Solanum lycopersicum: one gene and its partner. The main gene of each other region encodes a partner of the protein of the gene in region 2 in a complex. Links are inferred from orthologs where the notes say so. Each region holds a gene or a part of one and is shown on either strand. Other genes may lie near its edges.

Evidence for each region. The genes of interacting proteins can lie anywhere in the genome.
Region 1: lethal leaf spot 1-like protein (region 2) and red chlorophyll catabolite reductase, chloroplastic share a complex: the UniProt entries of both Arabidopsis thaliana proteins name them as parts of the SGR1-CCE-LHCII complex. The link is inferred for Solanum lycopersicum from reciprocal best matches to the Arabidopsis thaliana genes ACD1 and ACD2.

The regions. Positions count from the first base shown.
Region 1 is NC_090802.1:10,423,492-10,427,526, reverse strand, and holds the start of red chlorophyll catabolite reductase, chloroplastic, read right to left. Parts: upstream 2,805-4,035; 5' UTR 2,738-2,804; coding exon 2,405-2,737; intron 1-2,404. UniProt on the Arabidopsis thaliana protein: Catalyzes the key reaction of chlorophyll catabolism, porphyrin macrocycle cleavage of pheophorbide a (pheide a) to a primary fluorescent catabolite (pFCC).
Region 2 is NC_090810.1:57,602,851-57,607,203, reverse strand, and holds the start of lethal leaf spot 1-like protein, read left to right. Parts: upstream 1-1,542; 5' UTR 1,543-1,631; coding exon 1,632-2,051; intron 2,052-2,144; coding exon 2,145-2,380; intron 2,381-2,710; coding exon 2,711-2,837; intron 2,838-3,710; coding exon 3,711-3,847; intron 3,848-4,257; coding exon 4,258-4,353. Other genes in the region: uncharacterized protein, read left to right, coding at 61-196. UniProt on the Arabidopsis thaliana protein: Catalyzes the key reaction of chlorophyll catabolism, porphyrin macrocycle cleavage of pheophorbide a (pheide a) to a primary fluorescent catabolite (pFCC). Works in a two-step reaction with red chlorophyll catabolite reductase (RCCR).

The sequences.
Region 1 (4,035 bases), on a different chromosome or scaffold from region 2:
TTTTATTATAGGCATTAGAAAAAGAACACTAAATGGACTTGTCAAAGAACTCTCAATGGAATGACTAACTATAAGCGGAGGAATGGAACTGGATAAGAATAAATGAACAGAAGCCAGATCCAAATTGCTATCTCCCTGATGCTTTTGCAGTCCTTATGTATAACTCCCCAAGAAGACATCAGGTGAATGCAACTTGCAGAGAACTACAAATTATGAACAAGGATAATTCTTGAAATCGAGCAGTTACATTGGTTGGTCAATTTTGGATGCACACTCTCTTAGCTTCTCTCTATGAAGATCTATTGATCTTTTCAGCAAACACCAATTGTGCATCGGAACCCACCTAAAACACTAGTTATACATTCAATCCATACTCATCTCAACCAACTGCAGTCTCTCCTACACCGACAACTCAGTAAAACGCACCCGCTCTCCTACAACCCCCAATGGTTAGTTTGAACCAATCCAGCCGAAAAATCCCAAACACACAATAATCAACTCCTTCTAGCACCAACAACCACAACACCAATAAACATCATCCCCTATTTCTTCCAATCCTTCAGAGGAACAACACATGGACAATAATAAACTCCTAAAGCTTGCCCCTAACAGTTCACCAGAACCTCCAACTTGCTATTAACACTCAGCCTACTCTTTTGCAGATCACGCATGCAACACCTCAACAGGAAAATACTACCCATTCAAAATCCACCCACCAAAATCATTTAACCCCTCAGCCAAAGGTGTCCTCAGATTTCACACACCCTCTTCAAAATTGAAATCGGATGACGCGACCAACATCAATGGAACTGATCATAACCCTGTTGCCACTGATAAATCAGAACCCCAATATTCAACTCCAACAGAAACATCCCAATTTAGCAGGGAAAGGTAAAAGGGTGCTACTTCATCGAAACCAACCTTCACAGAAAGGTTCAAGCTGATTTGCCAATGCCTCAATCGCCGAAGCTCCTGTTGAAATTAGGCATGAGACTCATCTCGGAAAGCCAACCATATATTTCTCTGCTGATGACTATTTCGTGAATTTGGCTAATAATTGCAAATGACTATTGTGGGTAAATTTATCAAAGGAACCTACTATGAAAGAACTAAGGAAAATTTTTGTGAGTCAATTTCAATTGAAAGGAAGAGTCGAGATTGGGTACTACAACTACAACACTATTTACATTGACTTTCTGTAACAAAACAGACTTCAATAACATTTTTTCAAGTCATTCATTCACATTGGGTCGGTCATACACTATGAAATCCTGAGATGTGCACAGAATTTTAAACCAGAGCAAGAAACTTCTATTGTTCCAGATTGGATACTAGTTCACAACTTACCTCAGCACCTATTCAGATGGGAAACTCAGTGCCGCCAGATATTGAAGTTGGGAATGGTAATGGTGAGAAGGTGAGATTGCAGATCATATGAATTTTCCCCCTACAGCTCCTGAAGCTAGGGAATGGGGAACAAGCAGAGATCAAACTACTTTGACAAGATCACAGAAAAACTAGTTGAGATGTATTTCACAGAACAAACTGCAAACTATTAAAATATTAGTGGGAGTTTGCAGCACATTCACGAATTTTGTTTGTTATATATTTTTTAATTGTAACGAATGGATTGTTATTTACTAGAAAGTGCAAGATATATAGCTTGAACAAGAAATACTCAATTTGAAATTAGCTCAAAGGAAACAGATTTGATAAAAATCTTGTCTGACTTCATTGGGTGAATAAAACCAAAAATACATTTGCTGATCTTCTTAACTCCCATCACCACATTATACAGATAAGTATTTGGCATTTCAATTCATGTTACTTCTATTAAAAGAATTAGCATACATAGTAAAAAGGACAATCTACAAAAAGCACAATGCGTAATGGATTAACTCTTCTGCATAAGCCAAATCCACTAAAATAAGATGACAAGATCTAGCTTTCTCAATCATTATTCTATAGTACATAATAATTTTCTTGTTTTCTTTATCAACTTCACTATGTACAAGATAGTAGTGTATTCATTCATATTGAAGGGCATTAGGAGAAAATTCTTGGCGTTTTTTTTTTGGTTGCATACTTTATGCATGCTCAAGCCTTGAAGCAAGGCTTACACATGTTGACCACTTCGCTTAATGTGCACTTCAGTGTCGTCATTAAGTCCCAAGACAAACTTTTCCTTGAAAATAAGGGTTCTAAACTATTGGTATCACACTTTATTATTATGAAAATCAATTTCTTTGTCCATAGATTTGTTATTCACCCTGTATATACTAATTCAACAAAACATCCAACAGGAAGTAATTCTATATCATACTACATATAATTGACACAACTGCAAAAACGAATGAATAGGTAATAAATAGTAGAATCAATTGAGGAGGTAGTCGGAGAGTACCTGAGAAGAGGAATTTCCAGATCTGACATAGAGAGAAGCATGAGCAGTAGCAGATTCATTCTCAAAATACTGCACATGAGAAGGCAGAGTACAAGGAAGTAGAGACTCTCCAAGACGATTCTCCACAGTCGATACAAGTTCCACCATTAACTCTCTATGCGGAACAGATGCATAAGGAAATTCCTTAAATTTCGATTCATGATGTTCCATGGAAGTTGATGACGACGAGCAACAGAAGCGTTTTCCGACGGAAAAAGAACGAGAGGAAGAAGAGGGGAGTGATTGTGTGAGAATTGAAGTGTGAAATTTGGCAGAGGAGAGTGGAACAGCCATAGCAGGAGGACTGTCATGTTCACTGCTATCTCTTTGCTTTTTGGGAAGCAAACGAACATCACGTGCTGTGGCCCATGTAATACGCTGTCGTTTGTATTTTTAAAAATCAGAATTTTGAATTAGGATTTAAAATACAAAAATTTGATTAAACATATCTTAAACATGGTTATTTTAATCAAATTTTTGTATTTTAAATCCTAATTCAAAATTCTGATTTTTAAAAATACAATATATATATATATATATACCAGTCATTTATTTCATATGTAAATAAAATTTATAATTTCTATCATGATTTTTTAAACGGTTTGTATCTCATATAATGATTGTTCTCGCAATATGAATTTATTTTGACTTTAAATTAATGCATTTCTTAATTTATCAATTATATCTATGAAAATTATTATATTTTATCAAATTTATAACTATAGTTTTAAAAAACTTGAATTGGTCCATAATATAAAAAGGAACTTTGCATATATTCACTCAAAAATAGCCTAATTATGCTTCATAGTTATAATTTGTTAATTACAATTCGTAGCTATATGTTATAGAGAAAGAGAGTGACGAGAGAGATTGAGAGAGGGATAAGAGATACGAGCGAGAGAGTGAGAGGTGAATTACACATGTATATCAGGTAGATAATTGTGTATTATACATATGTATTTCTATATATGGCAAGCGAGATTGAGAGAGGAGGGAGAGAGATGAGCGAGATTGAGAGATGGAGGAGAGAGGGTAGAAATGGGATAGAGGTAAATTGTGTATGTATATTGGTTAGATAATTGAATATTATTCATATAGGTTTTGTATATATGACAAGTAAGATTGGGAGAAGGAGGAGAGAAGCGAGCTAGGTTGTGAGAGGGAGGAGAGAGACGAGCAAGATTGGGAGAGAGAGGAGAGAATCAAGCGAGATCGGGAGAGGGAGGAGAGAGGCAAGTGAGAGAGGGCAATAATTTGTATATTCGCATCTCGTTTGTATAATTCGTGGGTACCTTTGTATAATTCCGTGTTTTTGCATGATTGAGCAATATTAAGTTTAAAATTATACAAATATGAAAAAAAACACCTCAAAATAACGAATTGATATAAATATACATTTATTGACTTTAAATAGTTACATTAAATAAATTATATTATAAAAAAAAAGTGCACGTTTATACAAACTTTTGAAAGCTATACACAAAAAGATTGAATATATAAAGTGACAAAACTGAGAAACCAAAGGAAATTATCTCATATGCAAATACAAATCATCGTATAGAAATATAAATCAAACAAAGAATTGTTAGTTG
Region 2 (4,353 bases):
AAGAGGTGATCTTTCATATTGTTTTGCTTAATTGTAAGCTAATTCATTGTTTCAATTCAGGTCAAGATCATCAAGGGCAACTCCAGTCATTGATTCATCAAAGCCATTGCCACCCCAGGCGACATTTCGTGGCCCTTACATCAACACGGGATCGCGTGATATTGGACCTGATCATCAAACATACCCTAAGAAATAACATCTTTCTTGATTAGATATTAGTTTTGCTAGTTATTGAAGTCACTCTAGATTTCCCCTTTTTCTTTCTATTCAATGAAAAGAGATAATAATGAGAGTCTGTTGAAACTGGCTCAGGAGAAATTAGCATGTTTGAGAGTGATCCAGGAGCACCCTAGCTGGCCTGGACACCATTGTTATCGAAAACTCTGGAGGAAATTTGCATGTTTGAGAGTGTGATCGAGGAGCGTCCTATCTAGCTTGGACACTACTGTTTCAAGAAAAATTGTTCTTTTAGAGATTTTCAGATATGTAAGTGTGATGTTGCTTTATTGTTCAGAAACAACAATATGTAATATGCTGCGTGGAACGGGGCTAGAATTTTCAGTAAGAAGTTTGAAAATGAGGGTAAAAAGAAAGGGAAAATTGAATTTTTTTTCCCCCCCTCTTTTTAATGATTTGGTTTAAATGGAAGAAGGCACTTACTTTCATACCAAATTCAAGTAAAAGAAAAGGAAAACATTGGTGGGAATTGGGAATAGAACTAGATTTTTTTTTATGAATAGAAAAAAAAAGCAAAGAAGAAAATTGTTGCTACTAGGGCGTGTTTTGACATATTTTCCATATTTGGTTGGTGAAATCTTTTAAGAAAATGACTCTTTTATTACTGTACTGTATTGTTAAATTTATTATTAGATAACATTGAAAAATTTTTATTTTGTATAATCATCAATTTGGTGTGACTGTATTATAATTTTATTTTTCTTTCTTCTCATTTTGTTTAATAATTTTATTTCATCTTTTTTTCGATCTTAGATCTATCTTATTTTCTTGTAAGTATTGATTATGACATTCAATCGATAACGATAGGATATATTAATATATTTTTATCAAAATAATATATAATGTAATATGCTACGATATGATATATTATGAAATTATACTAAATAACTTATCTAAATATTGTGACATTTCAAGATCATTTTCTTTTCCACTCCTTAGTCCTTACTCCAAACACATGTTAGAAATATATTTTTTTAAAATTTTGAGTTGAAAGTGTGTAATAGAAATATTTTGCTATTGACATTTAACCATTGATTTTATCTCCTCTTTACTTTCACAATTATTATCATGTGTAACCTAATCAAATTTGAATTTGTGTCACGTTGAGAATAAAGAGCTCTCTAATAAAAATACGATTCCATATTCGAATGAGTCAAGCCTAAGAACTCTAACCAAATAAAAGAAGTATTTACCACTCCGCGTTAACACGGTCTCTTCTTCTCCCTAAAGCACCACCACCACAGCTTTCATTTTCTGGGCCCTCCCTCACAAACCACAAAACTCATCAAATTCCAATTCAAACACATTGTTCATAACTTGCACGCAAATCCTTCTTCTTCTTCTTTACTTGAACATATGTGTATTAGTAACACAAAACATTGATTAACTCAATAATGGTTTCTTCTCTGTTACTACCAACTCCTCAAATTCTTTCAATTTCATCTTCCTTACAGTCTTCACTACCTTTCAAACCTCATAATTTTCTTCAAATTACAAGGAAAAAAAATACGCTAATTTCATCTCCTCTTAGAGTAGCTGCACCTCCAACAACAACAACAGCTACTGAAGAAGAAGAGAAGCTAGATTCAAAATCTAGTGATATTGAAGATACAGAAAATGATGAACAAGATTCGTCGTCGAAATTCTCTTGGAGAGATCATTGGTACCCAGTTTCATTAGTGGAAGATCTCGACCCGAGTTTACCCACACCGTTTCAGCTACTGAATCGTGATATAGTTATCTGGTTTGATAAATCTGGATCTCAGTGGGTTGCTTTGGATGACAAATGCCCTCATCGTCTTGCTCCTTTATCTGTACAAATCCACTTCTCGATTTTGCTTGAGGATACTTTTTATATGTGTTTTTAGCACTCCTCTTTAAAGTTTTTGATGTATGGGTGTTTGTAGGAAGGGAGATTAGATGAAAATGGTGATTTGCAGTGTTCATATCATGGATGGTCATTTAATGGATGTGGTTCTTGTACAAGGATACCTCAAGCTGCATCTCAAGGACCTGAAGCTAAAGCTTTTCAGTCTCCAAGAGCTTGTGCTACTAGATTTCCTACTATGGTTTCTCAAGGATTACTCTTTGTTTGGCCTGATGAAAATGGATGGGAGAGAGCTCAGGCAACAAAGCCGCCCATGTAAGTTTCTGAATAATTAATTAAACTAGTTCGAAGTTATGCTATATTATTATATATTAATCTCTACTATAGTGACTTGGTTTATATTATAATACTAATCGATTATCTTTAGTACAATGACTTGCTTAAAATATGTTCTTCGTATTTTATTTAAGCTATTGCTGGATAATGAGATTGATTTGGTAGCTCACTTGGTTGATGCCCTGCATGTGTGGTTGAAGAATCGAATCCCATTCCCCTACCTATCGCGTTGATCAAGATATTATAGTTGGTAGACTTGAGTATACTTTTAGTGGGATTTAAATTTGTTGTTTAATGGGATATTTGTAGGTTGCCTGAAGATTTTGATAAGCCTGAGTTTGCAACTGTGACAATTCAGCGTGATTTGTTTTATGGCTATGACACTCTCATGGAGAACGTCTCTGATCCTTCTCACATTGATTTTGCACACCACAAGGTATTTTTTGCAACATTTTCATTCCTTTTTGGCTTCTAATATAGTTAAGAATCCACTTTCAGACCTAAGGTTTTATCCTTACATGCTAAAAATGAATAGTCTTCAGGGTTAGTTCTGAGTTCTCATAAGCTACGGGTTGTTTGGTTTTTGATTTCCATGAAAATATGAACTCAAACTGTTTCACATGTGAAAAAAGTGAACTTTTGAACTCTTAAGCCAAGTAGCTCGCTGTGCTTGGCCAAAACATATATAAGGTCGTTCCTTGGAGGATTTTCTCTTTATCTGGAACGGTATAAAGGTGTAGCTTTTGAGTGTTGCTCATTGTTTTATACAAGTTTTCATAACCTTACTTTCTGTGCAATTATTAGGTAAAAGCCATACTTGGAGAGCAATAGGTAGAAGTACGCCATGGGAATCTTAACTATCACTCTTATGACTTCAGTGCTACTTTTATCAATTTATGGATAGTTTTTCGATCTTACCATCTTAAAAGATGAAGCTGATAGGATTAGGCTATCCGGAGTGTGGATGCTGAATAACATGTTTTGACTCTGGATGTTGCTTCATATTCAGCTGACAGGATTAGGCTCTCTGGAGTCTAGATACTGAACAGCGTGCCAGACGATCCTTAAAATAACCTTTACAGACAATGTTGTGTGTATCTATCTGTAAATATAAATTTCAGAAAGATCTGAAGTAGAGCTTTCATCTTTTCAGTCGCTAAACGACTTTATTATTAGCAAAGGGCTTCATGTATCAGATAACAGAATACGGTGTATATATAGATGTGCATTTTTACTAGAGTGATACTGCTGCTGCTTGCTTGGTGTCCAACAACACATGTCTCTTAACTTACTTGTTGATATTTTACAGGTTACTGGAAGGCGAGACAGAGCAAAGCCCTTGCCATTCAAGATGGAGGCATCTGGACCTTGGGGTTTTGCTGGTGCGAACAATGATAAACCAAAAATTACTGCAAAATTTGTCGCACCTTGTTACTCAATGAATAAGTAAGTTCATCATCCTAAAGTAGATCAAATTTCTTGACTATCAAGGCAAGCAATCATGTATAAATTAATCATCTTTAGGTAGATATGCTTGCATCACATTTCTCTTTCTCCTACTTCACAGAGTCTGTTATCTGCTAACAAAACGAGACATTAGTAGCATTATGTATCTATACTCTTATGGTTGTGGGCATTATATCCTGTTCAAGTCGGGTTCTTTAAGGTATAGCTTTCCAGACCAGGTGCATGGTTTGTACAAGGCTTTGCGCATCAATAGATGGAAGTTCGCTTTGTTGTTGGTATACATGTCTTTATATCTTTGTATGAATTACGTTTTATATGTAAATGTTAGCTCCATCCATGCTGCAACTATTTGCATAGTATGACTAAGATCTCATTGGAAAATTTTCCAGAATAGAGATCGACACAAAGCTTCCAATCGTGGGTGATCAGAAGTGGGTGATATGGATTTGTTCCTTTAATGTACCTATGGCACCAGGAAAGACCAG